Linked DNA regions of Ovis aries. The protein of the gene in region 1 purifies or fractionates together with the protein of each later gene. This does not show direct contact. Links are inferred from orthologs where the notes say so. Each region holds a gene or a part of one and is shown in the gene's direction. Other genes may lie near its edges. The genes, in order: UBLCP1 and PSMC1.

The links.
Region 2: the proteins of UBLCP1 (region 1) and PSMC1 purify together in Homo sapiens (affinity purification with mass spectrometry; 3 studies listed by BioGRID and IntAct, with this or other methods). This does not show direct contact. The link is inferred for Ovis aries from reciprocal best matches to the Homo sapiens genes UBLCP1 and PSMC1.

The regions. Positions count from the first base shown.
Region 1 is NC_056058.1:68,436,149-68,439,963, forward strand, and holds part of UBLCP1 (ubiquitin-like domain-containing CTD phosphatase 1), read left to right. Parts: intron 1-877; 5' UTR 878-921; coding exon 922-1,075; intron 1,076-1,853; coding exon 1,854-1,945; intron 1,946-2,555; coding exon 2,556-2,641; intron 2,642-2,722; coding exon 2,723-2,838; intron 2,839-3,815. UniProt on the Homo sapiens protein: Dephosphorylates 26S nuclear proteasomes, thereby decreasing their proteolytic activity. Recruited to the 19S regulatory particle of the 26S proteasome through its interaction with 19S component PSMD2/RPN1.
Region 2 is NC_056060.1:99,907,352-99,911,737, forward strand, and holds the start of PSMC1 (26S proteasome regulatory subunit 4), read left to right. Parts: upstream 1-1,371; 5' UTR 1,372-1,452; coding exon 1,453-1,605; intron 1,606-4,386.

The DNA.
Region 1 (3,815 bases):
GCCCAAGAATACTGGAGTGGGTAGCCTATGCCTTCTCCAGTGGATCTTCCCGACCCAGGAATCAAATGGGGGTCTCCTGCATTGCAGGCAGATTCTTTACCAAATGAGCTATTAGGGAAGCCTTGTTTATTAAATCTGAAATAAATAATGGCCATTTACCATTTGTTTAATGCTGTGCCTAAAACACTTCAGTTCTAGTTTTTGAAACTATTTAACCAATTACTTACTTGCATAGTGCTACCTATGTGCCAGGTAGTATGTGACTTACAAAAATTAACTTACTCCTCATGAACCTTGAGTTGTAGGTAGTATTAGCATCCCTATTTTACTGATGAGGAAACCTAGGCAGTAAGAGTCAATTAACTTTCTAAGGTTAAATAGCTAATAAGTGGGATTCCTGAACTCCAAACCCAGGTAATCTGACTCAAGAATTTGTGCTCTTAACAACTCCCTGTCCTACCTTGCAAATGGTAAATGAACATGAATGGTCCATCATGGAGGAACTTGCCTGCAGCATAAACCTGATCAGAGAGGGAGAAATATGTAGCTCATGATTGCAGCTTTCCAAACAGGAATAATCTGATAGAATATTAGAGGGTTGTAACTAAGCTAAAATTTGGGAACGTGGAGGAATTTTAACTTTGACTCCTAATAACTTTTGGTGTTCTGATAACATTTCTATAAGTAGAAAATCCTGTTTCTCGACTATCAAGATGTAAATTAGGACTCAAAGGATGCAGTTTATAAAGCTTAGAGCTTCGATACATCTTTCTAAAATTTTTTGTTGAATATAGTTGCTTTGCAATGTTGTGTTAGTTTCTGCTGTATGACCATCTTTGGTATGTCTGTTTCAACACGTATATGGCTTTCTTTCTAGGTATCTTTTTCAGAAGGAAAGCTGCCTTATCATATGTTTCAAGGATGGCTCTTCCTATCATCGTAAAATGGGGTGGACAGGAATATTCAGTGACCACACTTTCGGAAGATGATACTGTGCTGGATCTCAAACAGTTTCTCAAGACCCTTACAGGAGTGCTACCAGAACGCCAGAAGTTACTTGGGCTCAAAGTTAAAGGTAATTTTCTCCCTTCTTCAAATTTATTGCATTGATATATTTGTAAATCTTTACATTAGCTATTATCAGTTCACCTTAATAAGTCTTTCCTCCTGGAGGTTTCTTTAATATCCCTTAAATTATTTTAGTGATACAAGTAAGAATATTTAAGAATACTTGGAAATAACACCACTATTAAGATTACTTTTGATTTCCTCTGACAGTTGATGTTTGCTTGTTAAACCTTGGACATGAAAGTCCCAGGTAAAGAGTGTAATTTGTAATATCTGTCTTCTAGTACAGTCTTTTCATTACAGCTTGGGCCTTTTACTCTCTCCAAATTAACTTTTCTCTTTTGAAAGTAATAACAATTTAGAAATTATCAGCAATGTTCATATTCATTTAAAAGGTACTTTTAAGGTGTTTGTGTTTGTTTTATCAGTAAAGAGTGAGTTCTGAAAAGCAGTAAATCTACAGTTATCCTAGGCACTCAATTTTCAGGACTTTCTGGAAAACAGTTATCTTCATCTTGAACAACAGAATAAGAATAAAACATGAGTTTATTTAGTTAGTTGAATTAAATATGTTCCTCTAAGATGGAGTTGGGGGAAAAAAACCCAACCTTGTATTAATCGCTTTTCATAGTGTGTTAGAAACTGCTAATTCAGCAGTAATAGTTTATTAATTTAAGGGAAAAGAACCTGCTGTGGAATCTTTTAATGTTAGGGTTTTATATAATGGGATAGTGAAACCAGCACGTGAACTTTAGTGAGAAAACAGTCATTTGCTTGTATTGTAGGCAAACCTGCAGAAAATGATGTTAAGCTTGGAGCTCTCAAACTGAAACCAAATACTAAAATCATGATGATGGGAACTCGTGAGGAGAGCTTGGTAAATGTTTACTTTTGTTATATTTGTCCCATTGAAGATGCGTGCGTGCTTAGTCGCTCAGTCATGTCCGACTCTTTGCGACCCTATGACTGTAGCCCTCTAGACTCCTCTGTCCATGGGATTTTTCCGGCAAGAATACTGGAGTGGGTTGCCAGTTCTTCCTCCAGGGGATCTTCCTGACCCAGGGATCAAACCCACGTTTCCTTCATTACAGGTGGATTCTTTACCACTGAGCCACTGAGGAAGCTCTCCCTTTGAAGATATTATGATTTATATCACATTGTTACATCATAGTTTTAATTGTGGTAAAACTGTCAGTTTAATAGTCAACAGAAAGTAAAAACAGTGAATGTGGTATTAACTCAGCAGAAAGCAAACACTGGGCAACTTGTCAGTGTACACAGGCAGCTTTTTATAGTAGTAGTGATAATGGTGAAATTTAACGTGGTATATCTGTCCAGTGAACATACATAAAATGTGGATGTTTTCCCATAGCGTGTGCTTGCAAGACTTTTGGACTCAATTTGTACCTCTTAATTTTTTATGCTATGCATTTATTTGTTATGTTAAAAAGAATATGGTAAAGCAATACTGTTTTTCGTCTTAATAGGAAGATGTCTTAGGTCCACCTCCTGACAATGATGACGTTGTTAATGACTTTGATATTGAAGATGAAGTAGTTGAAGTAGAAAATAGGTGAGTGCTTTTCATCATCAAAGGGAATTGGTTGTAATACAAGAGAAAGTAAATCTTTCGTCTGATTTTATTTTTCATTAGGGAGGAAAACCTACTGAAAATTTCCCGCAGAGTAAAAGAGTACAAAGTGGAAATTTTGAATCCTCCCAGGGAAGGGAAAAAACTTTTGGTACTAGATGTTGACTATACATTATTTGGTAAGTCAGCTGAAACTGTGCTTCATCATCTGTTACCCGTTAACAGCATTTTCCCCTTTTGTTTTTTCCTTGCACTATGAATTACTTAAAGCATTTCTTTTTATTTTAAAAGTAAATCATTTATTGCAAGCAAAAAAAGAAGTCATATGTAATCCCAAGATCCAGAGATCTTTTTTTATGTGTTAATTTCCTGGATGTTTTTATGTATATCCTTTTCATGTTTACTTAATGATATGGTCAACATTTTAGTCATTTTGTATTCATTGTGAGTTAAATATATGTATTTTTTGGTCTGGTGATTTTCTATGATTTTATGAATCTGTGATAATTTAATAAAGCCATTACCTATTTATTAATATTTTATGAGGATTATTTAAAAATCATCTTTGATAGTTTATTCCTGGTTTTCTATTATGTTCAAGACAGATTCTTGAATTTAAGAATTTGACATTTGATATTTCATGTCAGCAAAAAAAGATGTTCATTTCATCCTTTAATATTGCCAGAAATAATTGGATAACTCCTGACATTAAAATGAGCATATTTACCTCTAATCCTAACCTTTAAGTACATGTCATAAGTTAGTGTACATTTATTTTAAAATTTGATTAGTAAATTAATTGAATCTGTTATTTTGGTGAAATATGATTGTATTTGGAAGGTGAATGGCTAAAAAGTGAGTATATCTGGCCCTAGTTTGTTTTTCATATCCTAAAATAAGATCTATGTTTTAGAGATTAGAAGAGAAGAAAACTTACTGTTTATTATATAAGCCTGAATTCTAGGTATTGGCTCTTTGCAGATTGAACAGAATTGATTAGTTAAAGTTGGATTGCAAGAATACTGAATTGTGTGCTTTGAAGATGTCCCTCTGTCAGCTGGTAGAAGTTAGTCTGAAGTACTTAGTATTTTGAGTGTTTCTGTTATATTTCAGAAGTTTAATCTATATTAGATATTTGTCCATGATAATAAACTAA
Region 2 (4,386 bases), on another chromosome or scaffold:
CTTTATTTTCTTTTTTAAAGGCTGTTTTGAATGTTACAACACTGCTTCTGTTTTATGTTTTCAATATTTTTGGCAGGGTGGCATGTGGGATCTGATGCTGAAGCTGAAGCTCCAATACTTTGGCCTCCTGATGCGAAGAGCTGACTCAGTGGAAAAGACCCTGATGCTGGGAAAGACTGAAGGTGGGAGGAGAAGGGGACATAGAGGATGAGATGGTTGGATGGCATCACCAGTGAGATGGACATGAGTTTGAGTAAACTCCGGGAGCTGGTGATGGACAGGGAGGCCTGGTGTGCTGCAGTCCATGGGGTCGCAAAGAGTCGGACATGACTGAGTGACTGAACTGAATGTGGAATCTTATTTCCTCAGCATTGGAAGGGAGTCTTGGCCCCTGGACAGCCAGGGAAGCCCCAGATTTGTTTCTTTCTGATGTCCTGATGGATGTAATAAATAAGGATACAATCCCGGGGCAAGATGAGGACTTTTAGGACATTTGGCATTTTGACCAGATGTCACAAGACATCAGGAAAAAAACAAACCACCAGATTCAGACGCTTCATGAGACAACTTCTCAGATGAGCAGATTAATTCCAGAGACCATATCAGACGTGAAATGCTGCTGCAAAAGTGTATGCCAACCTCGCGGTTCCAAAGACCACTCCGGTTCCTGGAGAAGTTAAGGCAAGGTCTGTTTAATTCTGGCCTCTTTAAAATCGTTTTTATCTTCGCAATTGCCTTTGACAGTCGAGGTCATTGTCTTAACTTGTTGACAATAACCTAATAACTGCGATTTAAACATTTTTTTCAAGTGAAAGTTCAATAAGGCCCGCGTCTCGCTTGGGAGTCCGAGCATCCCCGCCCGTCCGCTCCCGCAGACCCAGAGGGCGCAGCCGACCCTCGCGAGATTTGGCCCCTGGCGGCTTCCGTGGCGTCGCGGCAACTTCCGCCCCTGACGCTCCGCCCCGGCGGCGCACTTCCGGCGGCGGCGGCGGCGGCGGCGGGAGCGGCGGGGCGAGATGGTGAGTGACTAAGGGCTTCGGCCGGCCGTGGCGGTGGGTGCCGGCGGCCCGCGGCAAGGGGAGCCGGCCGCCGCCGGAGGCACCGGGCCTGCCCGCCCCGGTCCCCGGGGAGGCACGAAGGCGCCTGGGGAGCGCGTCGAGGACCTCGGCGGGCCGGCCGGCCTTTCCCCGGGCCCGGGGCTCGGCGCCGGGCGGGCCCCGGGGGCGGCGGGGCGGCTCGGCCGGGCTGGCCTCGTCCCTTTCCGGGCGGGCGCTGCCCTCGGAGCCGGCCGTTTCGGCCGCAGCCTCCGCGAGCCACCGGGCCGAGCGCTCGGGGCCGCGCGGCGGAGGGGACGGTGCGAGCGGGTCGTAGGGGCCGCGCGGCGCGGGGGCGGCGGACGGGCGCGTCGGGGCGCCCGGAGCGGACGGCCCTCGGTGCCTCGCTTGGCTCGCGATGGTTTCTTTGCTCCCGGTTGATGCCGCTCTTTGGTGGCTGGTGGGGGGGGGGCCGGGGGTGGTCCAGGCTCCGCTCCAGGCGCTGCACACACAGGGCGGGCCCGACCGACCCAGTCTTGGCCTCTTGAAGCTGGCGTTCTCCAGAAGGCAGGTTAGAGAGAGAGAGGAGTGTGTGCTACTGGGACGGGGCGGGACGGGGGCGGCGAGTGGCCTCTGCTGTGGCTGCTCTGTGCAAGGGCGGGAGAGGTGGCTGTTTTAGCCAGGGCGTCAGCGAACCTCGGTGAGGCGGGGAGGCCTGAATCCGGTGAGAGGGGAGCCGGTGCAGATACCCGAGGAAGACTGGTCCTGGGAGGACTGGAGCCAAGGGCTGAGGGGGAGAGGCTTGGTCTGTGTGGTGAGCAGCAGCGGGCTCCACCGCAGACTCAGGCAGGCCTTGGAAGCACTTTGGGTAGCAGTATTCTGGGCCTGACAAGCACATGGCAAGTACTTTTCCAGCATTTGCTGGAAATTATTCTCAGCAGTCCCTGGAGGTAATTATTGTTATCCTCAGTTTACCAAGGAGGAACCTGAGGCGGGGCCCGCGGGTGTGCGGTGCTGGGCTAGCGGCCCGTGCAGGAGAGCAGCACAGACGCCGGGGTCCAGAGGCCGGGAGCGTGCTGTCTCTCGGACCAGCTTTGTGACAGCTGGCAAGTCACTTAACCTCTCTGAGCCTCGCTTCCTTCTCTGTAAACTAGGGTGATGATAGCGGCAACTTAGTCGGATCTGTTTGTTTAGCACAGCGCTTGCTGTTCAGTACAATACGTATAGTTACTTGAGGCTGAGAAACATCCTGTGAAGCCCCAGACATGGAGAAGTGGGGGACTGACTCCGGGAAATGTCCTCCGGTGGGGCCAGACCTGGAGGGTCATGGGACGGGTAGACAAACCTGGGAAGGGTTAACTGAAGCCAGTTTGGCAAGGGCCAGGCGTGCCAAGCTAGAGAGTTTGGACATTAGGCCGTAAATGCTGGGGGTCAATTGAAGGTTTCTGAGGCGATTCAGAGGGTCAGCTCTTTGTTGTAGAAGGTAATGTCCAAATGGACGAGGGAAGAGTTTAGACCTGGAAACCTCCGTTGGGAGACAAGCGGTCCAGTAAGATAAGGCGGCCTGGACAGAGCCAGAGATGGGGGGACAGGAGAGGGGGACCTGAACCAGGATGGATTGTAAGCAGAGATGGGGGACAGGAGACGGGGACCTGAACCAGGATGGATTGTAAGCAGAGATGGGGGGTGGAGATGGGTACCTGAACCAGGATGGACTGTAAGCAGAGATGGGGGGCAGGAGGGGGGACCTGAACCAGGATGGATTGTAAGCAGAGATGGGGGACAGGAGGCAGGGGACCTGAACCAGGATGGACTTTAAACAGAGATGGGACAGGAGAGGGGGACCTGAACCAGGATGGACTTTAAACAGAGATCGGGGGACAGGAGAGGGGGACCTGAACCAGGATGGACTTTAAACAGAGATCGGGGGACAGGAGAGGGGGACCTGAACCAGGATGGATTGTAAGCAGAGATCGGGGGACAGGAGAGGGGGACCTGAACCAGGATGGATTGTAAGCAGAGATGGGGGACAGGAGGCGGGGGACCTGAACCAGGATGGATTGTAAGCAGAGATGGGGGGTGGAGATGGGTACCTGAACCAGGATGGACTGTAAGCAGAGATGGGGGGCAGGAGGGGGGACCTGAACCAGGATGGATTGTAAGCAGAGATGGGGGACAGGAGACGGGGACCTGAACCAGGATGGATTGTAAGCAGAGATGGGGGACAGGAGAGGGGGACCTGAACCAGGATGGACTTTAAACAGAGATTGGGGGACAGGAGAGGGGGACCTGAACCAGGATGGACTTCAAACAAAGATGGAGGGACAGGAGAGAGGGGACCGGAACCAGGATGGACTTTAAACAGAGATGGGACAGGAGAGGGGGACCTGAACCAGGATGGATTGTAAGCAGAGATGGGGGACAGGAGACGGGGACCTGAACCAGGATGGATTGTAAGCAGAGATGGGGGACAGGAGAGGGGGACCTGAACCAGGATGGACTTTAAACAGAGATGGGGGACAGGAGAGGGGGACCTGAACCAGGATGGACTTTAAACAGAGATGGGGGGACAGGAGACGGGGACCTGAACCAGGATGGACTGTAAGCAGAGATGGGGGGACAGGAGAGGGGGACCTGAACCAGGATGGATTGTAAGCAGAGATGGGGGCAGAGACGGGGACCTGAACCAGGATGGACTGTAAGCAGAGATGGGGGCACGGAGGGGGACCTGAACCAGGATGGATTGTAAGCAGAGATGGGGGACAGGAGGCAGGGGACCTGAACCAGGATGGACTTTAAACAGAGATGGGACAGGAGAGGGGGACCTGAACCAGGATGGACTTTAAACAGAGATGGGGGGACAGGAGAGGGGGACCTGAACCAGGATGGACTTTAAACAGAGATGGGGGGACAGGAGAGGGCGGACCTGAACCAGGATGGACTTTAAACAGAGATTGGGGGACAGGAGACGGGGACCTGAACCAGGATGGATTGTAAGCAGAGATGGGGGGACAGGAGAGGGGGACCTGGACCAGGATGGACTTCAAACAAAGATGGAGGGACAGGAGAGAGGGGACCGGAACCAGGATGGACTTTAAACAGAGATGGGACAGGAGAGGGGGGACCTGAACCAGGATGGACTTTAAACAGAGATGGGGGGACAGGAGAGGGGGACCTGAACCAGGATGGATTGTAAGCAGAGATGGGGGACAGGAGGCGGGGGACCTGAACCAGGATGGACTTTAAACAGAGATGGGGGGACAGGAGAGGGGGACCTGAACCAGGATGGACTTTAAACAGAGATGGGGGACAGGAGACGGGGACCTGAACCAGGATGGACTTTAAACAGAGA